4 linked regions of the Astyanax mexicanus genome follow. The protein of the gene in region 1 interacts with the protein of each later gene in a pairwise test. Links are inferred from orthologs where the notes say so. Each region holds a gene or a part of one and is shown on either strand. Other genes may lie near its edges. The genes, in order: zbtb8a, lnx1, rpl9 and kat5b.

Region 1 (7,352 bases):
AGTCTCCTCTTTCAGTCTTTTTTTAGTCCATTCTTTTCGGGTCTCTTCTTTTCTTTTCTCTTCCAAACTCTTCATTATTTGTCTTCTAATTTCTCCTCTTTCAGTCTCCTCTATTTCTGCCTAATGACTTTCCATACCTTCTTTTCTGCTCTTTTATCTTCCAATATGTCAGTTTTTTCCATTCTAATCTATTCTCTTCCAGTCTCTTCTTTTTTTCAATCTCTTCTCAATTTCTGTTTCTCAATCTCTGTCTCTATGTCTTTTCTTGTGTGTTACTTACTCTTGCTCTCTCTCTCTATCTCTCTCTGCAGGTGTATAATCTGGGTACAGGAACTGGTTACTCTGTGCTGCAGATGGTGAAGGCTATGGAAAAGGCTTCTGGAAATGAGGTGTGTACATTTCAGATCCATACAGTCCATTTGTAGACATTCTGTAATCATCAAGTTAAAAGTTCCTAAATGTCTTGGGTTTGCCCTTTTTTTTGTGGCAGATTGCGTACAAGATTGCTCCCCGGAGGAACGGAGACATAGCGTCATGCTATGCAGACCCTAGCCTGGCTGAGAAGGAGCTGGGATGGAAGGCTGATTTTGGCCTGGAGAGAATGTGTACGTATAAATTCAATGGGTTTCACTCAATTTCTGTCTCTAGAGGAGTTAGTACTACATCTATTAACAAAATCATAAAACGAAATCAAGATTGCTTGCTAAAGTTATGTCTTAGGCAGATATGTAAATAATTGTAATAATGGCACTAGTAGTAAAAGTGTTTTAAATGCTGCCCTATCAAAACAGGGTGTATAAGACATGCTTTAGGTAGTGTATCTCTAGATCATTGACTGTTAGACATGTCTCTACAACACAGTCATAGACATTCTGCCCATTTAGGTGTTTTGATAAACTGAATACCGCCTACTCCACCTAGTCTAGTTTCAGCTAGCCACTGAAATCTTGTTTCCTGTTAGGGCTGCATGATATTGGAAAATTACATTGCAAAAATGTGCTTTTTTCGACTATCTCTATCGCGATATTAAACAATGCAGCGTCCATGATGTCACCAGCCCTGTCCCCACCCACGTGCTGTCCACGTGCTTCCGGAGCGATCAAGAGCTGAGTCAGTGCCGAGCTCTCAAAACCTGAGGAAAACAGCAAAATAACAGTAATCGGCCCTTTAATCAGGCAGGTAAAAGATAAATATGAGTGTTTTTCTGGGTTTAAAAGCAAGAATTCAGCTGTAACTGGAAATATCTGCGCTGCAAAACTGTGCTGGACTGAGGCGAACAGCTTTCGACACGTGCGTTTACAAGCACATACCCAACCATGTGGATGGAGGCCATGCAGTTACCCTCAAGCTTCTTAGGCAGCAGCAGCCTGTCATTTACACAGACACAGAGACGACGCTGTGTATCTACTTCTTGTGTCAAGAATCAAAACATTGCAACATGACGTGTTTGATTTAATTGCCTTAAGTGACATCGCACGTCCTGCGATGTGACTATTGCGAATGCTAACATCGCAATGACGATGCTTAAAACGATATATCATGCAGCCCTACTTGCCGTGGGACTGTGAAACGTGGACTGCTACGGAGTGGCACTGCATTGTCATTCATGGAGAATCCAAGTCCTGTGTGGTATCCAGCTGGTATTCTAGCTTCAACATCCTTAAAATGTACACGATCTACAGGCCCAACTGCAACATCTTTAGCTAAATGCGCTTCAGGATGCCATGCAGAACCTGTATTCCTACTGTATTACCCACTGTATTTTATATTGTATCTAAGCTAGCCTTCTTTTAATGGGATTGATATGGATTCTATTCAGTGGATTGTATGCATTCCCCAATAAACTTATCCTTTCTCTCTAAAATTGTAATCACTTACATATACATATATCGTCTTTACATTTACACATATAAAATTCCATTCCATTCCAACAACTCCCTATTGGAAAAAATTTGTATACTGGAAATAAATTCAGTTTTTCGTCTTGACATTTGATGATGCAATTTCCTGTTTATTTGCTCTGACAGGTGAAGACCTGTGGCGCTGGCAGTCCCAAAATCCCACAGGCTTCAGTAATGGGAATGTGGTGTGAAGCTGATGCAGAAGGAAGACTGAAGAGAAGAAGATCCTAGAGCCATGAAGTCCATTACTTTTCTACGACTTGATTTAAACTAGACGAAATCTATGAAAACAATGACACAATGAATGATTTACATTCCTTACAGTACTGTTTCTACCTGATTACTTTTAAATTATTATTAGCAAGCCTTTGTCTCTTTGACCAATCTTAGTATGTGTCTTTATTGATCCTGTATTTTCTTTATTCAAATCCATTCTTAACTTAACATTTCCAGGGCCAAGTTCATTGCATATCTTTCTGTTTGTACCTTGTCATGTTGTCAATACTGTTGATTAACTTAATTCTTTAAATAATTATAATTTAATTATTTTGGGAAACAAGGGATTGTTTTATTTTCATCTGACTATACTTCTTTTATAACTGCATTGAAGCCAAATACAAGAAGACCAAAACAGGTGCTTTTTTGCAACTCATAATAAAAGGGATTTACAAAAAAATATATATTGTATCTTGTGCATTTATAAAGCTGTGTATTTCAGCCATTACATGTGTTATGCCCACGTTTCAGCATTGGAATAACTAGTTAATTACTAATAATACGTTTGTTAACCTAACTGTGAATTCTATCCGTCGCCTAAACCCAAATTTATTATGAAAGTTGATCTGAATTACTCTAGCATTCAGCTCTTATTCAGCACATGAGCCCAGTTCAGTATTACTTCATTCAATAATTACTAATAAAATATAAAATGATGATAGCCTTGTTTTTCCTCCCACTGTCAATTTTCTCATTTTTGGCAGGGCACTTTATAGTTCATTCTCAGCACTGCAGTGATACTGACTGGCATGGTGGTGGTGTATGAGGTGTTAGTGTGTGTATGTTGGCATAAGTGGATCAGATACAGCAGTGCTGCTGGAGTTTTTAAACATCTCACTGTCACTGCTGGACAGAGAATAGTCCACCAACAGCATCCTGTTTGCACTGATGAAGGACTAAAGGATGACCATCATAAACTGTGCAGCAACAGATTCAGAGCTTCTGTCTCTAACTTTAAACCTACTAGGTGGAGCAGCTAGGTTACCCTGGTTTTACACTCTAGATCTGCACCAAGAGCTTTTAGAGCTTCTGGTACAGCTACAACAATACAATAGATAAACAAATTGCAAAAGTGTAACGTAAGAGCAACATAAATCTAAAACACCAAAATAAATCAAATAAATACAATAGATGAGACAATTTAAAAGACAAGACAGTGCAGTACCATCACGGTAAAGTTAAATGTTCTAGTGAGGATAAGGTGCAGAGGAATTTAACATGCTGTAACGTATAGAACATACATGATCACAGCAGTTACTGATGTAGAGAATTTGTGTTTTTTTGGTAGAAGCAGCAAACATTGCTGATAGGGATGAAGATACTGAGACACTGAAACACAGAGAAACATTTCAGTCTCTGTGTGCTGAGTCTTTCTGTGTGTGAAGAGTGGTGGGGGGTTTAGTTCAGATCTGTGTGTTGTGGAGTCTGACTGCCTGGTGGATGAAGCTGTTGCAGAGTCCGGTAGTAAAGGCTCGGAAGCTCCTGTATCTTCTGCCGGACGGCATCAGACTGAAGAGTACATGTGAGGGATGGGTGGGGTCGTCCATAAGCTTTGCAGATGTAGCGTGTGGTGTAGATCTCGGTGATGGAGGGGAGAGGGTCTCCGATGATCTGCTCAGCTGTCCTCACTGTCCGCTGTAGGGTCTTGCGATCTGAGATGTTGCAGTTCCCAAACCAGGCTGTAATGCAGGTGCTCAAGATGCATTCTACAGTCTTGCTATTTTAATCTCAGTGTCTTCATGAGGTAGTGTCACCTGAAATAGTTTTCTCAACGTTTTGAGGGACTAATAATAATATTATTAGTTAAAACAAATAGTGTTATCCATTGTGGGTGTATATTCTGAGCTCTAACTATTCAAACTGAATGAGTTCGATTAATTGTCAGAATTTCAACACTCTAACCAATGCCTATATTAGGCAATGTTAAATAAAGGGTGGTTAAATTTTTCTTCTGTCCACTTTAAAAGATGGGATGCAACCAAAACAATAACATTTATTCAAGGTTTTTAATACCAGGCTGTTTAATTGTTGTTTTTCCATTGTCAACATTGACAGATGTGATGCATACAAAACAACAACATTTATTAAATGTTATTTGATATCGAGGTAAGATTGGACGACTCGGACGGGTGCGGTCGGTCTCCTGCGGGAGGGTTAGAGGCGCAGAGGTCGGGTGGAGTGGCCGGGCTGGAGCGAGCGGAGAGCGGGCATGTGGAGGAGGACACTTGTGCTTTAAGTGGCTCCACAGCCCTGGCGGGCTCTCTGAACACCCACGTCAGCAAGAGCCGTGTGGGGGGCTTTATCCCCCTCACACACACACACACACACACTAACGGGTTTCGGTCTTTCGGGCTAAGCAGGAAGTGATCAGTTAAAGCTGGAGGGGGTGGGAAACAGCACCACCACTAAAACCGACCAAAGTAGCCTAAAGACATGGAGATGGTCTGCGAAAGTGGGACGAGTAGACCGTACCGGACCCCGAGCGAGCCGGGTCAGCAGTGAGTATGCTGTATGCCGCTTTGTTGGAGGAAAGGGGGCGGAAGGAAGGGGCACAGCCGCCCCGGAGTGTGAGACGGGGGAGAGGCAGAGAGAGGCAGGCAGCGGGGCCGGAGCGGACTTAGGTGGGTGGCGGGCGGAGGTCAGGCAGGAGGGAGTCAGCGGGCTAGGCGGAGCTCCGCGCACGGGGAGAGAGCACCGCGCCGCCGCTGCGCAGTGCAGGATCTCCCGCTGAAGAAGAGGGCTAACCGCGGGCTGTGGGAGCCGAGCTAAGTCCCTGAACCACCCCGGGCGTGGTTTGCATGTTAGCCCACCCTCTTTAAACCCTTAATATGGGCGTTTATTCGCTTTATTTCGTTGATAATGCTCAAAATGTTGCATTTAGTGCCGTGGACACAGTATTTTACTGTATTTTCCTGTTTAGCTGCTGCAGTTAGTAGAGAACAGGGGGAGGGAAGGAGGTCGATGGGCTCAAACATGAAGGGCTTCCAGCGGCTGCCCGTTTCCACATTATTAGCTTATTTTATGGCAAATATTCCACACATTTATCTCGTCTGTCTTATTAACTGAGGAAAAACACACACATTATGGCTAGTGAGCGTTATCCAGGTCCTGGAGGTTAGAAGCTAGTTTTAGCTCGCCTTTCAAACGGGTGTAGGCTGCTCTAATGGAGCACGGGCGGGCGTGCTCGTTTTTTTCTTTTTTTGTGGGATTGACCTCTTTTTCAACATCAATTGCGAAATATTATAGCTAATTATTAACTTATTATAATGAAATATAAATGAAAATATGTTTGTAAGATATTGGTAAAAAAAAAATAGAATATATTTTTGGTGCTTGTCTGTTCTGATTACAAGGTTTAATCATATACATTAAAATCTATAAAATAAAAGAAGATAGAGAAAAATATATATATATATATTATTTTTCTCTGATTTTTACCACCCGACCTTTTTTATTTACCTCCACCCCGATCCTAAATTCTGTTACCCGTTGGGAGAAACGGGGGTGTGTGTGTTATTTTTGTCCCCACCCATTTTAGGAATATAATTGACAGCACTAGGAGCTTATAGCAGATGCCGCACTCATGACTTTCAGTCCTGTTCTATTAGCCAATCACAGTGCATCAAGGGGGCGGGACCTGTCGCAATACAGGTGGGAAAGGAAATAACACGGGGTGCGGCTCTCTCCTCGAGAGCCAGCGCGCTTGACTGACAGACGTAACAGCCAATCAGAAAGCAGGGGTGTCTGTTTTAGCCCTTTTCCTTTCTGGATGGAACAAAGGATCTGGGAAGGGGAGAGGATGACCCAGAAATGGGCTGCTGGGGTGAATTATGATCCACGGTCTGGAGCACTTCAGTGGAAATGTTGTGGCTGAGCCGATTTGACTCTGTATACCTAGATTTTAACGTTGGTGGCTAAAAACAAGCATATACTATAATAATTATTTTTTATAATTTATTTTTTATTGTCTTTTATATTACAAGTGGGACTAGACAATAATTCAATATCAACATATATCATATATCTTAGCTTATATCAAACAGCAAAACATACTTTATCTAACCAAGGCTAGCTGCTGTGTCTATGCTAAATTTGATATCAATTATATATATTTTGGTCATTTTGCATCTGTACCTACTGTAAGATGTGGTTTCTCTATTGCTGAACTGGTCCACACCTGCTCTTTTTGTGTGGGTATGATGGTTTGTGGTAGACTTGTCACATAACATTATTATTATATGGAATATTATAAAGGCATTATCAACCTATCATAAAGTATATGAACATGACCTCAATTATTTTTGCTGATGTAGATATTGCCCATAGTTTTTTACCAAGCATGGAGATTCAATTGACATCAATGAGAAGCACCATCTACCCTTCCAAAGAGAGCATGGCCAATTATGCTTTCTTGGACTCTGGCTGCTGATGGCATGCAGCATTATTTAGAACATAAAAATATTTTATATATTGAAATTCGATGTCTGAATATTTTTTAATAATTAAAAAAGGGGACAGGATTAGTCTGTTGTCAGAGGCCTTCAGCAAGGAGTAATGTTTTTTGAAATATCGTGATATTATTTTAGGGGCATATTGTCCACCTCTAATTTCACAACATATTTCTTTAAAACCAGCTAATTTTTAATCATGCCATCTTTAACTGCATCTTTTCTTATTTCAGGCTGATCCACAAATTCACGAGTGCAGACATATCAGCCAATCACCAGTGCTGCCTCCTGAAACAGCTGGACCAACAGAGACGGAAGCAGCTCTTCTGTGACTGCAACATCCTTGTGGAGGGGCACCTTTTCCGGGCACACCGTAACGTCCTGTTCGGCAGCAGCGGCTACTTCCGCATGCTGCTCTCCCAGGGGGCCAAGAGCAGCCTGGAGCCCGTCAGTGCCTCCTTTGACGCTTTTAGCCCCGACATCTTTACCATCATCCTGGACTTTGTGTACTCTGGAAAACTGGAGCTTAACAGCACCAATATGATCGAGGTGATGTCAGCGGCCAGCTACCTGCAGATGGATGACGTCATCGCCTACTGCAAGTCCTTCATCAAATCCTCCCTGGAGATCAGCACCAAGGAGGAGGACAGCCGCTACCTGTGTTTGTCGGATGGCAGCGCTTCACGAGACGGTGGTGAGGATGGCAGTGAAGAGCCCACGGCCTGCG
Region 2 (7,756 bases), on another chromosome or scaffold:
ATCCTCATTCACAAGTTAAGAACTCAAAACTTACACAAGTGAGTTTATTCTTAAGCCATCTCCTGTGGTAACACTTCACACATAATCAATTTACAAACAGCTGCCCCATGACTTCTGGCATTTCCATGATACAATCCAAAAATATGTTTTTTCATTTTGATTTTGATACAAAACTAAGTACCACAACATGTAACAACTTATCAAACCGATACAGGCCAGCCAGGAAGCCTTTTGAAATAAATTAAAAGCATCTGAGCTTATCACAGTTTCGATATAAAGAGCGTGTTGATATGGAGGCTGAAACTGAAACCTTTTAACATTCATTCACAAGGACATGCAGGTAGTTTCAGTGTTTATGTTTCGGGGATTTAAATAGATGCTGACTGATAATTAAATAATAAAAAGTAAAAAAAAAAAAAAGAAGTATTTATAAATTAATTTCCTACAAAAGTGAGTAAATCCCTTGTATTTTATTATGTCTTTTTATGGGACAACACTGAAGATATACTGATAGAATGTGGCCAATTCAGAATAGTAAACACTGGTGAAAAAAAGGATATACTTAATTGTACTTAAGACATATTGAGAAATGCCTCAGTATTCTGATTCAACAGATTCATGTACGTACTTAAAATATATTTAAAGTACATTAATATTATTATTATTATTATTATTATTATTATTATGCTTTCATTATGCTTTCACGCTTTGATCATACTTTTTAAAAAGTACAATATAGTGTATTAAAAATAGACTACTATGAAGCACAATGTTAGTTTAATGTAATTCAATATACTTCTAAAATACGTATTTCCAAATATGCTTTTGTACATTTTTAGAAAAGTGTGTTAAAAACAACTGTTACAGTAGTTCACTTAAAATGCAATGTAACGTAAAGTGCATGTAACTTTTTTAGAAAGTAAATTAAATTACCACTAATTTAAACAAAACTTATACAGTACAGTAATACAGTATATTAAAATATATTTTTATATACAACAAAGTATACTAGAAGTGTGCTACTTTCAAAAGACATGGCCAAGAAGCATATTAATTAATTTACTTCAAATTAAAGTTTACTTTAAAAAAGCAAATGCAGAAAGTTGCAAAACTTTTTTTAAGTAAATTTTACTCAGTTTTTTTCAGTGTACATACACAGTATGAGCTTTCTGGTTGGTGATATATTATCTGTCACTATATAAAAGATGTTGGATTGAGCTGTTTCTTGGCTTGTGGATCTGTTTCAGATACAGAACACAGCTGTTTTTCCCCTCTGCTGCAGGAACAGCATCTGAGAAGGATTCACAGTAAATATTTGAACATTACTGTAAGGATTTCATTGCTTTTATAAGACGGGGCTGACATTGGAGGATTAGTGCTGGATCACAAACCCCACTTCATCCCACCCCACAGGTATTAGATGGAGCTCAATCACTTTATAGAACGCAGTTCCATTGCTCAACAGGCTGGTGGGATTTGTGTTACCTTAGGAGACTAATTGGTACTTCTCCACCTCTGTATAAGTTGTCAGGTAATCTCTTGTGAGTAAGGCTGAACACTGGACTGGAGTTTAAGTGAGACCTAACAGTGGATGGTACATTCCATTTCTAAAGTCACCATTAAAGGCATTACCGCCCACAGTGGACAATACAGTGGACGTTAATGATCGTGACCTGCGGTGTCTGGCTGGAAATGTCCATGTAAACAGATATGCAATTAGAAACCACCTCCACATTCAATGCATGAGGCCCCACATGCATATCCCACAGCTCTTTGCAGCGTACATTAGCTTTTATGGAACATGGCGAAAGAATGGGACCTGATATTAGTTCCTGTCCCATGACATTTGTCAAGTCAGTATATTGTAGAGCATATTGGTCAATGGAAAAACTGGTGGTCGTTCATTGCTTTAGACATTTTTGACCTTAAAAAAACAGACAGGTGCATTACACTTACCGGATTTTTCACAGTATAAGGTGCACTGAATTCAATATTAATATCTATTTTCTGGTCTGTTTTCATACATAAGGTAAACTGGATTATAAGGCGCATTAAGCGACACTAGTAAGGAACAGATGTGTCACCATGTTTACCTTCTAATTCGGCAGACCTGTAAAGTTAAGCTAAGTAAACAAAACTGTAATTCCTCAAAAAAAAAGTCAATCGAGTGCTGGATGTTAATCTACACAGAATTCTCTCCTGAAAACTGTTTATTTGGGTGAGTTATGCGCATCTGTTTATTTACAGTAAACTTAGATTTCCAGATTTCTAATAAGGCTAGCCACGGTTAGCAGCTAATTCCTCTCGACAGCGCTACACTGAGGAACCCTGAGAGTTCTGGTAAGCCAGGATGATGTTAGCTAGTGGTTCATCCCATGTGGCTTGTTTTAACATGATAAAAAGAGCTAGCGCAGTTAGTGACTAATGCTAATGCTGCTCCAGCAGTGCTAGCTGGGGTTAGCAGCAGACTACATGCCTATAATACTCACCTCTGAGCGGCGAAAGAGCTAGCGCTTACCATGGTTAGCAGCTAATGCTAATGCTGCTTCAGTCTTGGTGCTGGAGAACTTTAAACTGAAACTCCTGTATAAGGCTGTACTTCAGCAGAGTGGCTTTTTACTGCTCCTTACAACCTGACTAATAAAATTCATATATAAGGTGCACCGGATTATAAGTCGCACTGATGATGTTTGGGAAAATTAAAGGATTTTAAGTGCGCCTTATGGTGCGCAAAATACGGTTGTATACATAGAAAGGGTTCTTTCTCCTGGTAGCTTTGTTCCCAGACAATGACAACAGCAGAGCTTTATTCGAGCGACACTCAGGAGTGACAAAGTTAGCACGTCATTAATACGTCATTTAGTGTCTGTCAGCATATGACACACATTTACACACACAGCTAAACACCTGATTATGTGCGTGAGAGCAAGAGGTGTCTAGTCATGAAGTGGAATAACCACTCTAAAATCAAGCTCATGAAACTTCATAATCCCTAACTGCTCTTACTGTATGCATTAGATATAGGCACTGGTTTGGTGCAAAGCGTTCATTGGAATTTGTGCAGGTTTAGCTGCTCTTTTGTCCAGTGACATGTTAAAACCTGCAGGTTTCTGAGCACAAACCTTGCTGAGAAACTGTAAAACTGGCTGTAAAATCTGTTTGTGTGCAATGGTATACCATGTAATCTTACTCACAGGAGAAATGTTTTCACTGGAGTTTTATAAGAATTATAATAAACCTGCTGAAAGTGACAATATTTAATGTAGCTGTACAACCTTAGGTCAGAAAACGTTGGGTCAATATGGGAAGTGTGATATAAAAAGCTGTGTTTCTTATATATGCTTTGCTTTTTATTTGACTGCAGACAGAATTCACCCAATATATGTTGTGTTTTTTACACTCAGCTTCATGTAATTTGGTAATATACAGTATATTCTCATTCAATGTGTTTTCTTTTTATGATTTTTTTACATTGTAAATTTAATATTTAAAGTTATACAGGAACCCATGTGGAATTAATTTGTTAAAAAAAATGTTAACCAAACCAGAACATGTTTTATAGTTTAGATTCTTCTTAGTATCACATTAAGCTTTGAGGACACTGTATTTTAATTTCAGTGTCTTTATGAGGGAGAGTCACATGAAACAGTTTTCTCAGCATCTTGAAGGAGTTTCTGAAGGTCCTGAACAACAGCTGCTGCTTTTCCTTCACTCTGTGAAGCTCCAGCTCATCCCAAATTACCAAATGTGTCCCTTAATTGTTTCCATTCAGTTCAATCTTTAGTATTGATTACGCTAAGAGACTGGATAAGCATGGTCTTAGTTTAAAATGATAATAAGAGGACTGTAGCAATCACCCTTTACATCCATATACTGCCTCTAGACTGCCCAATATGAACACCTGTAACCATGCAGATTTTAAGGTGGAATAGCTAGAATTCATTCATTTAACTAATGTCTCAATTTATTATTATTTATAACATTATAAAGCATTCAATTTATTTATTAATGTTTAATAACGTCTTAACTAGTATCAATTTATAATTCATTCAGACATTACTTTTTACACTATATTTATTAGTGTTTATTACTGTCATAAGTACTGTTATTTGTGACCCTTATTGTGTTACCAAATAAACATCACTATTTAAGGTGGAACAGAACAATCAAATAAGTAGCTGGTGAACATTAATTCTGTAATAGCTACTTAAGGTGGAATAGAAGAAACGGAAGCCAGCTTGGCTGTTTATTCTCCAGCTTTAATAGTGCAGGAATTTTGTCCAGATACTGTTAAAAAATTTAGATTTACAAAATCAGTAAATAAGCTGTTGTTAGTGTGACTGTGTGCATGTAGAGTCAGCATTTAAGGTGGAACTGAAACTTATTTAACTTGTGGGGCCCTTTGCAACATAGAGAGCCTAATGGTTTATACTTAAATAAAAGTCAAAATTACATTTTCTATACTGTCCCAACATTTAAGTTCATGCCATTTATCTTACAATGGTTTAATTACATTTGAATAGTATTACAAAGTAATAGTCAATTAAATAATTAAAGCCAATACAAAGGCCTGTTTTGTTTCTGTTACTCTTTACTCCAGTCTGTATGTGTGTGTCTGTGTGTGTCTAAGTGTGTCTATGTGTGTGTGTGTGTCTTTTTTACCGGTAGCTCCAGAGCTGGTTTGGGCAGTTCTCATGTTTACCTGCCTTCCTCTGTGGCTCCACCCCCTTGAATGGAGACTTCCTATGTCAGGTGTGTGTGAGTGTGTGAATTGTGTGGCAGCACAGGCGGACAGAAAGGCAGAAAGGCTGTGTTTTGCATACCCAGGGCACACTCTTCCTGCCACAGAGAAAAGGGAAATTGCAGTGGATTCTTCTATCTATACTGTGGAAAGGAGAAGGCGTGACGTCTTGAGATCACTCAGGGTCTCTCTTTCTCTCTCTCTCTGGGCCGGCAGTAGCCTCTAGGATTACCTGTGCAGGTGAGGTGTGGAGGACACAGCAGGAGGCGGGAGAACAAACTGAATGCGCTGTAAGTTTGATCAGCTGAAAGCTTGTGGACTTGTGAACCTTTTTGTTTCCAGCCGTCACGCTCTGTGTTCAGTAATCTATCACTTTTTAACTTTCACTCACTGCTAACTTGTGTAATGGTGCTTTCTTGCTTTATCTCTTTCTCAGACCTGTAGAAGTAAAGCGAAAGCAAAGCTTATCTTCAGTCTTATAATAAAGGTGGCAAGTGGGACATTTTGGAGCAATACCAAGATAGTTATGTAACAGTTTTAGAGATAATACAGTTTTAAAGATAATACAGTATGTGTGTGTATGCTAACAAGCCTATTTACAACCCTGTTACCTTGACGTCGAATAAAACATACCGGTACTTACACAGTATATGTTTTTACACTGTAACCTATGATAAGCTATGATAAGCTCTTTAATCGGCTGCTCTATGTCACAAAAGGTATCGAATATAGGATAAAAGAAACCACAGCACTAAAACATGACATTGAAATTTTGTATTTTTTCCTGCATGTTATACCAGAAAGTGCTGTTGCCCCCTTGGTGTCCAGCCAGCACTGTGTGCAGTTAGCTAGCTGAAGTTAAGCCACTCTGTTAGCTTTTAGCCAAGCACCCTCTCACCTTACCAGCTCCAGCTAATCTCTTTCTCTGGTCAGCCCACTGTTAGCTTTTAGCCTTATGTTATCCATATTTCCTTATTCTCTCAAACTAGTTATTGCTTTTATCCTCACAATGTTCTTGCATTGAGTTGGGAGTAGCCCTCAATTTTCTTCAAATACAGCTCTGGAAAAAAAACATTAAAAGACCACTTCAGTTTCTACATCAGTTGATTTTGCTATTTATAGGGTTATGTTTGAGTAAAATGAACATTGTGGTTTTATTCTATAAAATACGGACAACATTTCTCCCAAATAAAAAAAAAAAATTCTCATTTAGAGCATTTATTTGCAGAACATGAGAAATGGCTGAAATAAAAAAAAAATGCAGAGCTTTCAGACATTAAATAATAATAAGAAAACAAGTTCATATTCAGAACTTTTTAAGAGTTCAGAAATCAATATTTGGTGGAATAACCCTGGTTTTTAATCACAGTTTTCATGCATCTTGACATCATGTTGTTCTTCACTAGTCACACTGCTTTTGGATAACTTTATGCCACTCCTGGTGCAAAAATGTAAGCAGTTCAGTTTGGTTTGATGGCTTGTGATCATCCATCTTCCTCTTAATTATATTTCAGAGGTTTTTAATTTGAGAAAACCCCCCAAAAAATCATTTTTAAGTTACCTCTTATTTTTTTTAACAGATCTGTATATAAGCAAACCTCAAATAAGATTTGCATTTTTGTTCTTTGCACAATAACTTATTTTTTTCTATTTGTAAACAAAAAGCAACCTTTAAAGTAATGCACAAGCTTTTGTTTCACTTCACATTTAATTAATTTATTTTTAATAAATAGACTCCAACAACCTTACATGCAGCTTTTATAGTAAACAGTGTAAACAAAGGTGTAAAAATATGTCCTTTATAAGTGTCTGACAGAAACAAATGTGTATCTATTGAGATTCCCTTTTTCAACTTCTATATGTAAAGATGTAAAATCTCAATGATCCCATTTCACATGGAAATTACATTAAAAAAGTAATTCAATTAATTAAATAAATTAAATGTTATTTTATCTCACAATTAGACGAAGACGTTTTGTGTTAAAAAGAAACAAACAAACAAAAAAACAATTATAACCTTTTTAATTAGTCTTGTTTCCATATTTTCTCAAAGTAACCATTGTTATTAGCCTTAATATCATTTCACTGAAAGTACTGTGCCTTTGCTGGGGCAAAAATAAAATAAACCAATACTGTTATGTAACAGTCTATATGAACTTACTGGAACTAATTTAGTATTATAGATTTTTACAAAACTCGTATTATTTAACTATTCTGTTCCTCAAGCACCTTTAACAAATCCCTGATATATAATCCAGCTCTTCTCTCAAACCCAAAGTATAGGAATGTTCACTGGAGAAAGTGAAGGAGTGTAGATAGGAGGAAGGAAAATTGAAAAGTTGGGGGAGGGCAGAGAAAAGGGGGCATTCTGTAGGCCTATGTTAAAACACTCTTATATAACTCGCCATATGCCCTGCTATATGGTGCTTTGATGTGAACTACTTATGTGGATGCAACACCCATGGCACACTCTCATGAATTCTAATGCTCTTCATGTCCTCTATGTGTTTGAATGTGTGTATCTGAATGTGTGTATCTGGCTGTGTGTGTGTGTGTGTTTGTGTGTTACACTTATAGACACCTACTGCAAGATTATCTTCCCATACTTTAGCAAAGAGAAGCACTTCACTGGATGATTAACTGCAAAAAGATACATTCTTGTGGTAGAAAAGCACTTAATCCTTGTCTCGAAATAAAGTCAAGATACACACATTTCTGCCCAAGAGAGAGTGGAAGAGTCTACTTTAATGTTAGCTGTTCAAATCAAACATCCGGAGACGTCCGTGTTTAATCTTCTCTCCACATCTTCCAAACTCATCAGAGTGAAGGTAGAGAGAGAGTTGAGGTTGTTAGTGCTGTGGAGGCTCAGAGATCAGGCCTGTACCTGTGTAATATGAGCAGTGACGCCTGCAGCCAGAACAGTCACAATACCAGTTTGTCTGCCAGCTTTTCAGTACCTTTTCATAACTGCAGCTGTCAGAGATGTTTATGTTTCTCTGTGGCAATGTTAACTCA
Region 3 (6,838 bases), on another chromosome or scaffold:
ATCATGTAAAACAGAAAAGGCCAATCTTACCAGAGTTTGACACCAGCTCAATATCGTTACCCTCCAGAACAAGCTCGTCTTTCTGGGCTGCTGAGAGCGCACAGTTCACACCTACAAATCAGAACAGACAATTAGATCAAAATGCTATTAAAGATCAGCAAAGTTTCTACAAACTTAACTCTGCATTAGAGGACATTGGCTTTTCAGTTATCCTAAAAATCAGAAGATGAACCAATATAATAGAGCTGGGTGTTTTGATCGAACTGATTGTTCTTGATCTTTTTCCAACAGCAAATCAGATCAGCTACTGAAACAGTCAAGCTATTATCCATCAAGACTATTTAACTCATTAATTTTACAGTTTGTAGATTAAATTCTGGATTAGCACACTGCCCAACCATTACACATTAAAATGATGGTATCAAAACAGAGCAGAACCAACCATGTGGAATTTCATTTATTTTTAAACAGTGGCTCGTCAGCAGAAACCTCTCAGTATAGCGGGATTAACAGACAAAAGTTAGCCAGCAGGCTAACAAATGTACCTGGCCTCATGCGGACACGGCGAATGTACTTCTCTCCCAGGAAGTTCCTGATCTCCACCAGTGAGCCACTCTCCTGAATCACCACGTTGATGGGGAAATGGGCATACACAGATCGCATCTTGTACCTGAAGCCCTACACAAAACACACATTCAAACAATGTTTACACATTTTTCATCAACTGAAACAAAATAACCCACACAATCAACAAATTAGCTAAAGTCATGTGACCTGGGACAAGACCATACGCTGAATGTACAAAAAATGAAAGTTACAACTACACAGTTATCATTGTTTCTGGTACACAACTGTTTGTTATTGAGTTTAAATAGAGTAATGCAATGTATGTTCTAAACCAAATGGAAACTTTCTAAACAACATTGTGCTACATCATTTTAAAGTCTTTCTTTGAAATAGCTTACAGTGTAGTGTCGCTTTAAAATGTTAATTTTATACAACAATTGTAACAGTAAATTGTTTGAGCACTACATTTTCTACACTTCAGTCTTGTGGCAGATAGTGACATTTATCATTTAATTTAAAAAAGCTGGAAACTTGCATTACACACAAAAAAAAACATTGCTACATTATATTCAACAAGATTATTATAAAAAAATGTATGCAAAAATCTGAGCTATCCCATCCACCCGTATTACAAACTAAAAATTTAACAGCAGACAAACACTGCTCTTTGGACATAATTTAAATAAGAATCATAAAAGAAAACATAAAACTTTGATATGATCCAAAACTGATGTTCTTACCATGGTCACACCCTTGATCATGTTCTGAACATGGCTGCAAATGGTTCTGACAGTGGCCAGCTCCTTCCTGTTACCCCACCATTTGTCCACACGCAGCTACAGAGGAAAACAGTCAGCCACACCAACACAACACAAGAACTCAGTATATTTACAAGTCAATTCGGTCAAGATCACCCTTACCTTCTTCTGCTTCTTGCCGAGCAGACGAAGCTCCAGGTTAATGTGGCTGAACTCCCGGCGAAGAGTTCCACGAGGACCCTTCACAGTGATGGTGCGGCCTTTTAGGCTCACATCAACTACGAGGACAGAAGACAAGAAATAAATGTTTGTGTTACCAGGCTATATGTTGAGAGAACTGAATTCTGTGTTCATGACTTCTGTTTATACAAAATGAATCCATCCCTTTATACATAGTACATTTAGCATGTTGTGGCCATATTTAGGGCAGGAAGCAGGGGTCAAATACTGCTTTTGTTTGCCCCAAGTAGTTTGACAGTCTTTTACAATTGGCCAGGAGGGCATGAGGAAGAATCAACCTCTAAATGACTGCATGTATACATATATATTTCTTTAGAGGTTTTATTTTAACGATAAGAAAACAGTCAAACTACATTGCATGCACATATTTACAAAATTACATTTATATAGCACCTTGACACTGAATGACATTTAAAAAACACATTTTACACACAACTCAACCATCACACACTGAAAAGTGAGAAGCAGCAGCCAATCACATAGCGCACACTCATTCGGAAACAACTGTCCACCTGGAGGACTGAATCAGGCACAGGTTGCCATATCTGGCCAATGTTATAGCATATGATACAACAGGGCCCACCCCTAAATTAGAGTATCCAATTTACCTGATTTCCAAGTTTTTGGACTGTGGAAAACTCCAACCAGACATGGACTTGAACCCAAAACCCCAGTCTTATAAATCTGCAGTCTTATAAGTAGTGATCCAACAGGATTCTCAGTGTTAAGATGAGGGGGTGTTTCAAACTGTATATAGCCAATATATTACCGTATACTAATAACTAATAAGTGTCAATAGTTGAATACAGCTTATAGCTTACCTTTGTCGGGGATGTCCACCGTCTGGGTACTGAGAATGGTCTTCATTCTGTGGAGGAGGACAAACTGGGGGTCAGCAAAGATTCAGACTCTTAAAAACTTGACTTGAACACAGACTACAGGACTCTACAAGACTCAAACTAGTTAGCAGTGGACTGCCGGCTACAGTAATCAGCTAGCTATTCACACGTATGTGAGCAGCCCAGCTCCACACAGACTACACCTGTAACTCTACAGCTTCTGCTCCTGCTCTTTACAGTTCTCAGCTCTCCTCATTACTCAGACGAGCGGCTCAGACCCTCGCCCGGCCTCCATCCCTCAGGCCGAGCGACCAGCACGGTGCGGTGGCTACCGGCTAACAGATAAACAGGGTCAGGCCGGGCGCTTCGGACGTTAATCCACACTAAACCGAGCCGCAGAGCAGAAATACACACATTAACTCTTCATCCGACACTTAAACTATATCATATACAGCCTGTAGCGCGGTGAGAGGGGCCACTACTGAGGATTACAGTGGATTTTGAAATCGAGGGATCAGGCAGCGCCATGTTCTTACCTCGCTGATAGAGGAGGAAAGGAAGGAGGAGCGGCGTCATGACGCAATTGTAGCGCCAACGTGCTGACATCACCACTGAGCGCGCAGACCAGACCGACTGATAGCGGAACCCAACGATTTTCGACAACCTGTTTTATATGTATACACACACATCTTTTTGTTTATATATAATATTTTATATTTTTTTCTGGTAAACTGCTAAACTTTATTTTCAATCGACTGATCCTATTTGGAAAGTGCTTTAAAACTTTCTTAGTCAACTGATTTTATTTATTACATCTCTAATAAAAAATAAGGTGTGAGTGTATTTGTTTTTAGATGTTCTTAATAGTTATTTTCTTATTTACATATATAGAAAAAAACACACAACAAATAGATAATTTAATTCACTAATTTGTTTTAATAATAGAGAGGTGTAAAAGACAAACCTAATGGAACAACTTCAGTTTCTGAATTTATGTTTAAATAAAATGAATATTGTTTTTTATTCTATAAACTATAGATAACATTTCTCCTAAATTCCAAATAAAATACTGTCATTTAGAGCATTCATTTGCAGACAATGAAAAGTGGCTAAATTAAGAAAAAAAAAAAAGAATTAACCGGGCAGCACCTAAAGCCAGATTTTATCCAGCAGATCTTTTATTTTGTTATATAATAAAAGTCCTAAGCGGCGTTAGCAGCGAGACGGGTAATCGAGCGCGGAGGGGCGGATGGTGTCAGTAGAGGAGGACTGGTCATAGGGAGTCATGGCGCTGGTGAACAGGAGCTGTGTGGCTGCGGGGCGGTTCTCCTGCTGTCAGCTGCTGTTTACCCCGAGATCCTGCGCTGAGTCCCAGCAGGTCAGTGGGTTATTAGAGGGTGTGAGTGGAGACCGGGGCAGTACCTGGGAACCGGGGGCCTTTCCGGGGCCGGTTCGGGCCTGTAGGTCAGATTAGAGACAGTGGTGACCCGCCGGAGGAGAAGCTGAGAACTTTCAGAACTGTGTTTTAAATGTGCAGAACTGTGTTTTAACTGTGTATATAAACTCTTCACAGTGTGTTTCAGTGCTTTAATCTTAATAAATAAACAGGAACACCGTTCCTTCGGGTAGCTCACTAACTAACTGGAGCCAATAATCCAAAGGTTAAATAAACTAGTTTACAGAAGAAGCAGATAAAATTAGGGCATCACAATAACATCACAATATATCAGCAGATTTTCCTTTTTTAAAGGTCTCAAATATTTTTTAAAAATATTATATATAACATTTACAATAACACCAGCAGATGACATGTCGCTCCAAACCATCACTGATTGTGAACACTTCACACTAGACCTCAAGCAGCTTGGACTGTGTGTCTCTCCACTCTTCCTCCAGACTCTAATTTTCAAATAAAATGCAAAATTTACTGATGGTCAGTGATGGTTTGGAGAGATATGTTATCTGCTGGTGTTGATCCACTGTATTATATCAAGTCTAAAGTGCAGTGTTTTCCTGGAAAATTTTACAGCTTTTAATGCTTCTCTCTGCTGACAACTTTTATGTAGATGCAGATTTCATTTTCTAACAGGACTTGGCACACTGCCCACACTGCCTGAAGTACCAATTCGTCTTATATAATATTAAAAATACTGATTTATGGGTTTTCATTGGCTATAAACCATAATCATCAACAAAATAAAATAAATAAATGCTTAAAATAGATAATTTCTATGTGTAATACATCTATATATCAGTTTCACATTTTGATCTGAATCTACAATACGTTATTTTAATTGCTGTTATTTTAAATTGTCACAGGTCCACATCAGTCGACTGACCAGTACAGCCAGTACATCGGCTACACTGCAGGACAGAAAGAAGGAGATTAAAGAAGACGGCCTGGAGCTGAAAGACTTCATATCAGGAGACCTCTCAGAGAAAGGCAGGTGGGAGGAATACAGGGGAAACCTGAAGAGACAGAAAGGAGAACGGTAAGTGTGTTAAGAGTGTGATTTGGTTTGTGTAGAAATAAAGGCTGAAGATGTTACCTTTTCAGTCTACGTAGAGATTATTGATGCACTGCATATTTAGCAACAATAAGTATTCGTCCAGTGGTGTGAAAGGGTCTGATTAGCACTACTGAGGTACATTTATTATTAAAATAGCACTACTGAGGTAAATTCATGATTAGAATTGCACTGCTGAGGTAAATGTATACTGGAATAGCACTGCTTAGGTAAATGTATGATCCGAATAGCTGTGCTAAGGTAAATGTATCCAGGTCATCTATTTTTGCACGTTAACTTTTACATTATTTTCCCTCTGGCACTGCAGAAAAATTTAAAACTGACGTCTTTCTCAAACTAAATCCTGTAAAATGTGACTGTTTAATGTGTTGTGGTTAATGTTGCAGGCTGAGGTTACCACCATGGCTGAAGACTGAGATTCCTATTGGGAAAAACTACAACAAACTGAAGAACACTCTACGAGATCTCAACCTGCACACTGTGAGTATCTCAAATTAAAGAAAAAACATTGTGTTTTTTTTTTAGAGTTAATGTAGTGTAACCTGATAGCAGCAGTCCTGGGGCTGATGTTAATTGGCTGAATCTGGAGGCCAATCTGTGTTCAAGTAGGCTGCACAAATTAGGAAGAAAAAATACATTTGAAATAGTTTCTATAATAAAATCTGAAAATTGAAAATTGCAATCACACAGTATTAAGCAACTTGGATTAATTTGTTTAGATTATATGTGGAAAAACTAAGTTAAAAGTTAACTAAAGTTAATTTTTTTATTACTGGGTAAAACCCTTCTTTATTACTTCTGGTGTGCTGGAACATGACTTCCCCTAAGGTCAGACTAATGCAAAAAATCTGATTTAAGTCTCTTCAGCTTTGTAATATAAACACGGGCAGCCTTAGACTCTGACCTGATACATTCTGAACTGCTTCATGTCCAGGTTATATCAAGTGCTCTATTTGTTTAGTAATTAAAACATTGCTGTGTTTTGTAGGTATGTGAGGAGGCCAGATGTCCTAACATTGGAGAGTGCTGGGGGGGTGGGGAGCATGCTACAGCTACAGCAACCATCATGGTAAGTGTATTATCATGGACAGCTAGCCAAATTGTGTCTCAAGTTATAAGCTTCTGATTGTTGTTTTAATTACATTCAGAAGAATAGATACAGAGATAAATGCACACAGGTGCATAAAGGTTTGGTTAACGATTTGGAAAAAAATATTTTTGCATATGGATTAGAGAGAATGTGAATCAAATATAAGCATGTTCACACTGGAAGTATCCGGGATCTGACTAGAACCGTCAAACTTAAAGGTGTCCTTAAGCTAAAATCCACTTTTTCTTGTCCTCTGTAAAATACAGTGAGTGTCTCTGAGTTGTACATGTTAGCAGGGCATTAACATGTTGTAAAATAACATATGACATTGCAAAGACTGTTATTAGTGTAAAAATGTCAGAGGCGATATATTTGCATGTATGAATTTTTATAAGCAAGAGCCAAAATCTTTTGGGCCCTCCCACCCACTCCTCCACAGGACTAAAGCAGTGTTATACCAGAACACCAGAGCCCTTTTTTTCCCCACAAAAACCAGCTCACATGGCATTCATTCATACTAGAGACCACACTGTGGCAAATGAGGATTTATTATATCTGTGCTCTCTCTCTCTCTCTCTCTCTAGTTAATGGGGGATACCTGTACTCGTGGCTGCAGGTTCTGTTCTATAAAAACAGCAAGAAATCCTCCTCCTCTGGATCCGGATGAGCCGTACAACACCGCTAAAGCCATCGCTGCCTGGGGGCTCGATTATGTGGTGCTCACTTCAGTGGACAGAGACGGTGAGACAAAGTACACACAGACACACACACACACAAAACACTCATTTACTTGTGGATAATTGAAGTGAATTGGTG
Region 4 (6,980 bases), on another chromosome or scaffold:
AGTATATCCCTCCCACTTCACGGAAAGTGTCAGAGAGGATCCAATTAGGGCATTTCAAGAAACAAGTCATTGTGAGCCCATTCATACAACTTTTAATATGGTAACTCAAAATTGTGTATTTTTTTGGTGTAGAATGGGCAAGGGTTAGCTGTACCGGTGTGGGGAGGGTTTTGCCTCTGGAAGGAGCTGAAGCAGCTTGAACGTTGAGATCTAGACTCTTCCTCTGAATTTGAACAGAAAGGAAGAGAACAGAGTTAATGGGTAGAAGTCATTTAAACACCTGTGCATGGTAATATGTATTTATTTTTTGGCAAGATTTCAATTCTAGCATCAGTTTAAACAAAATTCAATGAATAAATGCACAATTTTGTGGAAAAAACTAGGGACCAAAGCTCACACCTATAATTTGGCCTCCAGAACATTAAATGTAGACATTAGAGGGCAAGTGCAGTCTCTCTTACCACTTCTCTTTCTGGTGAACTGGGTCGAGACCCAGGTAGTCCATTTTTTGTGGGTGTTTTCGCCTCCTTCTTTGGAAATTGGAGCTTTTTCATGTCCAACCTGTCCGGAGTGACCCATTCATCCAGACGCTTGTTAACTACAAAGAAATGACAAATGCCCGTGACTGAACTGTCAAACACTTTTTTCGTTTGTTTAAATTCGTAGCTTTATGAAAGCAACACACTTTAACATGAAATGTACTTACAGTCAATGTAGTGAACATAGAAAAGCTTCCTCCCAAGTGTATCTTTGACACTGAGAATTTCAGCCAGTGCTAGAGAAGATAAAATATAAAAAAACAGACATTACTGAAAGATTCCAACAGTATTTTGTAATGCCACTATGGGCAGTTTTTTTTTCTTTTTGTAAAGAGAAACCAGGATTAAATGAAAAATTAAATCCATCTGTACACCAGAGGTGATGAGGCCAAACATGCCTCTAAACCCCATATAACAGAAATCTACAACAGAAATGGTTATACTGATGGCACCTGACAAATTATTTTAGTTCTGAGAGGTTCTTATATTTTACTTTTACTAATTATAAAGGAATTTGCTTACATTCCAAATGCATAATTTTGCAGAAAAAAAAACACTAAAACTAGAACCTAGAAGAAACTATCCAATTGGATACACTAGGTCAGTTTTATTCAGCTACACTTAAAACTTCTATTTAACAACTAAATACAGAATGACTTTCTCAGTTAGTCAGTCTTTACCTAAAACTCAAGCCTGCTCAGTGGGAGAAACAATAAAGCCCATTCTTAGTATGTAGTACCAGTCAAAAGTTGAGACACACCTTATCTCATTTAATCTTTTCTTTTTCTTTATTTTCTTATTTTATTTACATTTAAAATGTAATATTGAAGTCTAAGGCATCTAAAAAACACTACATTTACTTTGGACTTGATATAACACAGTGGACCAACACCAGCAGATGACATAACTCTCCAAACCATCACTGACCATCAGTAAAGTGGGTAAACAGTAAACAGAAAATCAAGGGACCAGAGTCTGGAGAAAGCGTGGAGAGACACACTGTCTTGAGCTTGAGGTCTAGTTTGAAGTTTCCACAATCAGTGATGGTTTGGAGATATGTCATCTGCTGATTTTCATTTTCCAGCAGGACTTTTATTTGCTGTAAGCCATAATCATAAACAATAAAACACACTATATATAATATATGAATTTCACATTTTTACTAAAATAAAATTTGCACTAGTAATTCAATAGTATTAAAGCTATACAGTAACACACACAGAATGATTCTATAAATAAAACGTGTTAAACAAACCAGAATACATGTTCTACATTTTTACTTTTCTACGTAGACACATTTATCTTTGAGGACAGATCTAAACACTCTTGGATAAGTCACCTGGATATGTTTTTAAAGTCTTGAATGAGTTCCTGGAGGTGATGAACAATAGCTGCTGCTTTTCCTTCGAGCTGTGAAGCTCCAGCTCATATTAAATAACCATCTCAGTTGGGTTTAGGTCAGGGGATTGTAGAGGATAAACACTTTTTTTGTTTGTTTACTTAATAATTCCCTATCACTACTACACTATTGTCTTGTCTCCTGTCTCAAGTATTGTCTATATCTGTGACCTTGTTGTATTGTACATTTAGTGTCTCTCATTCTTTTATATTTATAATTTTATATTGCTGTAATTTTGGGAAGAAGAGTAACCTAATTGTAATCCTCTGTATGTCGTGCACATATTTAATATGTACAATAAAACTACTTGACATGATATTAATCTACATTAAAATATTTTTATAGAGAATACATTAGAGAAAGTAATAAAGCAAAACATTTAATGAGAAGGTGTGTCTAAACTTTAGACTGGTATTGTACAGTTCTACAGTCTTCAATTTTAGCCTTGTTTTATATGCTTTACTCAGGTGTTTTATTTTATAGCTAAACGCCCTCAGGACAGGTAGTTAACAGGTTACCTAGGTTATCTAGCTATCTTGGTTAGATTAGTAAGGAGCTTTCCTTCAGTTTAGGTTAATAAATAAACGTTAACAGATCATGACAGCAGAGATAAAAGACTGAATTCACTCCGGGTTCAGTAAACATGTCCTCAGCGGTCTGATTTTTGGAGTTATTCTCGGATTTATCGCCGCACGGTTGTTGGAGCCGCTCTTTGTTTACATGCTGCTCCGCCATGACAGCGCGTTAGCAGCGTTAGCGGCGGCGGCTGAGAGCGGACGGTACTTACGCCACTCGTCCTCATTTTCTTGATTTTTCCGGAGAACAGGGAGACGGCAGCCCTCCACGATCTCCATCTGTGGATAGATAAGATATTAAGGTATTTAACCAGCCTCGGTGAGACAACGTAATTCTGATGTAATCGCTCGTTTAGAGGAAAACTATAACCGGACCCTCCATAAACCACTCACCGATGTGTCCGCCATTTTCGTCTTCAGCGCGCTCTCTCGCGAGACGTCCGCGGGGCGCGAGATTACAGTGATGACGCGGATGAGCTGTTGAAGATGATGTCTGACAAACAGCTTTGTGAAGCTGCTCAGAAATGTTACATTTACCCGGTCCTGTGTAAGTGTATGAATTTAAAAAAAAATCACATTTATAGACCATTAACAGTACTTACAGACACAAACCTTCCCCTTAGTTTAACTGTTCTTTCATTTAAACAATCTGTACAAATACAAGTCTGAAAAATTAAGAGACCACTTCAGTTTCTTAATCAGTTTCTCTGATTTTTGCTATTAATAGTAAAATGAACATTGTTGTCTTTTTCTATAAACTACAAACAACATTTCCCTCAAATTCCAAATGAAAATATTGTCATTTAGAGCATTTATTTGCAGAAAATGAGAAATGGCTGAAATAACAAAAAAAATATGTATGTTTTTATGTTGTGCTCTTGAATGAATTGTTCATAAAAATGTTTCATTCAGTAAATGTAAAAAAAAAAAACTCTTTTGTGAAGCTGTTCAGAAATGTTAAATTTACCCAGTTCCAAGTGTATAAAGCTTGTATAGAAGATTAACATTACTTTTAGACATAAACTGTTCCCTCAGGTGTAGTGTAGCTTTAATTGAACAGAGAAGAAAATAAATGTAGTAAATAAATATAACAAATTGACTGGTCATGTATAAAATTCTGGTACCACTTTAAAATAAGACTACCTTCATAAAGGGTTTATAAATGGTTCACAGTTAGTTTATTAATGGTTACTAATTAGGTTGTAAATGCCTTAAAATCATTAATAATCAGTTATAACACATATGTAGAAAGGGCAACAATGACCTGTTATTGGCCAAATAATGAACGCACAGTTATCTATATTGTTGCCCTTTCTACGTATGTGGTTCTACGTACCAAAATCCTTAAACTAAACTAGATAACTAAACAGAAAACTAACTAACTAACTATTTCTGTTACAGTTCACACACCAACCACAAACCCTGTCTTAGTCATCCTGTCCTGAGCTGCCTCGAGGTGCCCTTTTTTGGTTCCAGTTCCTGCATTCTGGTAACAGGCCTGTCCCAATTACAGCAGGGTTTATACACAACCATTCTAAAATCCTTTTCTTTTCTGCATTTCTGTTCTATCTCTTTTGCATGTTCTGTTGAGCCTTGCTATTCACTGCCCTGCTGCCCTTTGCTCTGCTCTGGAACTTATAATAAGGATTCAAGGAGACTTTATTGTCATAACAATTAATAATCTATTTCTATATTAGCTATATCTCCCCATTATCTCTCTGTACAGTTGTTTTTGTTATGTTATTTGTTTGTGCTGTCAAGGTCAACCAGAGGACAATGGGTTCCTCTTACTGGGTTTGGGTACCTACCAAGGTTTGTTCCTCTTAGTTTGAGGGAGTTTTTTTTCTTGCTTAATTTTGGGGTGTTTCTGTTGGTTCATTCATTATAAAATTTAGACCTAATGTAATGAAACAACAGGCAGATATATCAAAAAGAAAGAAAATTAGAATGGAATAGATATGGAAACACAATGTGCATTTTTTATGAAAATTTACCAAGAAAAGGAAAACATAGTTAATGACTGGCTTACCCAATAATTTACTTGGCAGTAAAGTGTGGCACGGAGGTGAAATGTTTCACACATTTTCAGATAAAACATATCTGATCCAAGCATAAAGTTAAAAAGGACAGAAGGGGTTTGGAGGCAGATGGATGGCATCTGCTTAGTTTGGAACAGTTTGCTAGTTCACAGCAGGTATATTGGCTGGATTCATTCAGACCGGGTATTGGTTGGAATAATTCCTAGTAAACTTTGATTCATTCAGAGCTGGCATTGGCTTCCTTCATTCAGAGTGGGCACTGGTTTGATTCATGCAGCGTGGGTCCTGTTTTAATTCATATAGTGCGGGCCTTGGATGACTTGGATACTTTCAGAGCAAACATTGGCTTTATTTATCATTCAGAGTGGGCACTGGTTTGATTAATTCAGAGTGGGCACTTGTTTCATTCATTCATAGAAGTAATTGGTTTCATTCATTCAGAGTGGGCACTGGTTTGAGTCATTCAGAGAAGACACAGGTTTCACTCATTCAGAGCGAGCACTGGTTTGGTTCATTCAGAGGAATCACTGGTTTCATTCATTAAGAGCGAGCACTGGTTTGGTTCATTCAGAGGAAGCACTGGTTTGGTTTATTCAGAGTGGGCACTGGTTTGATTTATTTTGAGTGGACAGCAGGAAATGTCCCTATATCTAACTTAATTTTAAATCAGATGTTTGGAGTCATATTTTTTATCTTTAATATAAATCACATTTTTGAAAAATAATATATTTTACACACATAACACACTAGCTTTTCATAAATTGCACACATGAGGGCGCAGTCTGCTCTTTGCACCTGGACATACTGCAGAAATTGTGGTTTTCCTGTGCAAACCCACAACTTCCTTCACTTTAGTAGCTTCTCAGTAAGCTGCAGGATGAATAACACTGTAACTGTGCTGTGCTTACAGAATAGACATTAAACCAATTATTTACATAATCTTATTTTGGACTATGTTTCAGGTGCACGTTATGCGTTTTTGTAATATCACATATAGCAAAGAGACAAATTATTATGATCTACAGCCTACACCAATGCTCCAAGAAACAGATCCCGTGCTTCACAATTGCCCATTAGTCAGTTTAGTCAGTTTAGATGGATATGCACCAAACTGGTGTCCAACATTATGCTGATGATTTGTGGTTCTAAAGATACTCTAGTCTGTTCTAGTTATCTAGTTATAAAAATCTGGCCCTTAATAAAAAATGGTGCACCTTATTTTGGCCATTTATCCCACATGAATCAGTGTTAACAAGCACCAACAGGTAAAGTTTAAATTATCTGCCCGAACCCGACCCGAGGCCCAACCGAAATCAGGCCAAGATTTCCCAGCACTTTTCTCAGGCTGGGTCGGGCTTAGGAAAATAGTCTGTGATGTAGGAATCTGTTTTTAATGCGATCTTTATTTTATATACGGTGTGATGATCACTAAATAGCTAATTAACAAATTAAACTGTTTTTCAAATACAAATCGCACAAGTTAGAATGTTATAATCACACAGCAGTTCCACTTTTGTCCGCTTTTGACTTGCAGCGCTATGTGTAGCTGTTCCTGATAAACATTTTCCTTAAATAATAGGACAAACTAAAAAATGTTGGGTTTGGGCTTGGGCTCATAATGACAGTTTATGGGGCGGATCGGGTCGATTTTTTTTATGGGCCCGATGTAACAGGTACCAACAGGTAAATTTCCATCTAGCATACTGTAGCCATCTTGTTGTTACAAGATAATCTATCTTATTTCCTTCATTTATTTCATAATAGTCATCATGTTTTGGTTCATCTGTGTCAAACATTATTGAAAATACCTACTGTTCTTTGTTGTTCAGTGTAAATCTGTGGACAGACCTTTTGATTAGATTAGAACATGCTAAGCAGAATGGATCTACACAAAGCAACTTGACACTGGCCCTTAACCCAGTGCTTCATGGTTTTATTAATGTTTGCATGCTGACAACACCTTCATGTTTGCTCTAAAAAGTAATGACGCAGCTGAAACAGTTTAGTCCACATTACTCCAAAAAACTCATGACTATCCAGTGGATAATCAATAGTGTTGGGTTATAAGGGCTGCAGTAAAGCATATCAACATTTTTGACATGTAGCTGTTTCATTTTCTTAGCTGTTATTTAAAAAATCTAAATTGTTTATTGTCTCTTGAAAATGTTGATCATAAATTCCTTCAGGGGCAGGCTGAGACTTTTTCCAAGCCAGAAAAAAGTTCTTTCTGATGTTTCTCAAGTCTCTCTCCATTTTTGTGTTGGTAGTAATCTTTCTGTCTCATCCAGAGCTTCTCTTAGAGAGCCTCGTGGCCTCCTGTCAGTTTGTGGAAGAGCTCCTCGTTCAGTGTGTCGTTTTGCTCGCGGCTCCGGGTGGACATGAAGATGTAGCCGCCGATGTACTCGTGCACGATCTTACAGTCCGCTGT

The links.
Region 2: the proteins of zbtb8a (region 1) and lnx1 interact in a two-hybrid assay, tested with the Homo sapiens proteins (2 studies listed by BioGRID and IntAct). The link is inferred for Astyanax mexicanus from reciprocal best matches to the Homo sapiens genes ZBTB8A and LNX1.
Region 3: the proteins of zbtb8a (region 1) and rpl9 interact in binary tests that used the Homo sapiens proteins (3 or more experiments, as listed by UniProt). The two-hybrid records come from large-scale screens. The link is inferred for Astyanax mexicanus from reciprocal best matches to the Homo sapiens genes ZBTB8A and RPL9.
Region 4: the proteins of zbtb8a (region 1) and kat5b interact in binary tests that used the Homo sapiens proteins (3 or more experiments, as listed by UniProt). The link is inferred for Astyanax mexicanus from reciprocal best matches to the Homo sapiens genes ZBTB8A and KAT5.

The regions. Positions count from the first base shown.
Region 1 is NC_064421.1:41,105,344-41,112,695, forward strand, and holds the start of zbtb8a (zinc finger and BTB domain-containing protein 8A), read left to right. Parts: upstream 1-4,344; 5' UTR 4,345-4,610; coding exon 4,611-4,675; intron 4,676-4,722; exon of another isoform or gene 4,723-4,975; coding exon of another isoform or gene 4,976-4,977; intron 4,978-6,858; coding exon 6,859-7,352. Other genes in the region: gale (UDP-glucose 4-epimerase), read left to right, coding at 312-389, 491-605, 2,028-2,092. UniProt on the Homo sapiens protein: May be involved in transcriptional regulation.
Region 2 is NC_064408.1:64,611,339-64,619,094, forward strand, and holds the start of lnx1 (E3 ubiquitin-protein ligase LNX), read left to right. Parts: upstream 1-4,745; 5' UTR 4,746-5,031; intron 5,032-7,756.
Region 3 is NC_064432.1:20,210,638-20,217,475, forward strand, and holds the start of rpl9 (60S ribosomal protein L9), read right to left. Parts: upstream 3,001-6,838; 5' UTR 2,941-3,000; intron 2,434-2,940; 5' UTR 2,433-2,433; coding exon 2,387-2,432; intron 1,604-2,386; coding exon 1,488-1,603; intron 1,404-1,487; coding exon 1,308-1,403; intron 679-1,307; coding exon 546-678; intron 112-545; coding exon 31-111; intron 1-30. Other genes in the region: lias (lipoyl synthase, mitochondrial), read left to right, coding at 3,690-3,782, 4,724-4,896, 5,319-5,412, 5,921-6,001, 6,607-6,763.
Region 4 is NC_064408.1:21,537,579-21,544,558, reverse strand, and holds the start of kat5b (histone acetyltransferase KAT5b), read right to left. Parts: upstream 3,011-6,980; 5' UTR 2,922-3,010; coding exon 2,907-2,921; intron 2,793-2,906; coding exon 2,726-2,792; intron 776-2,725; coding exon 707-775; intron 599-706; coding exon 462-598; intron 224-461; coding exon 155-223; intron 1-154. Other genes in the region: im:7154036 (fermitin family homolog 3), read right to left, coding at 6,849-6,980. UniProt on the Homo sapiens protein: Catalytic subunit of the NuA4 histone acetyltransferase complex, a multiprotein complex involved in transcriptional activation of select genes principally by acetylation of nucleosomal histones H2A and H4.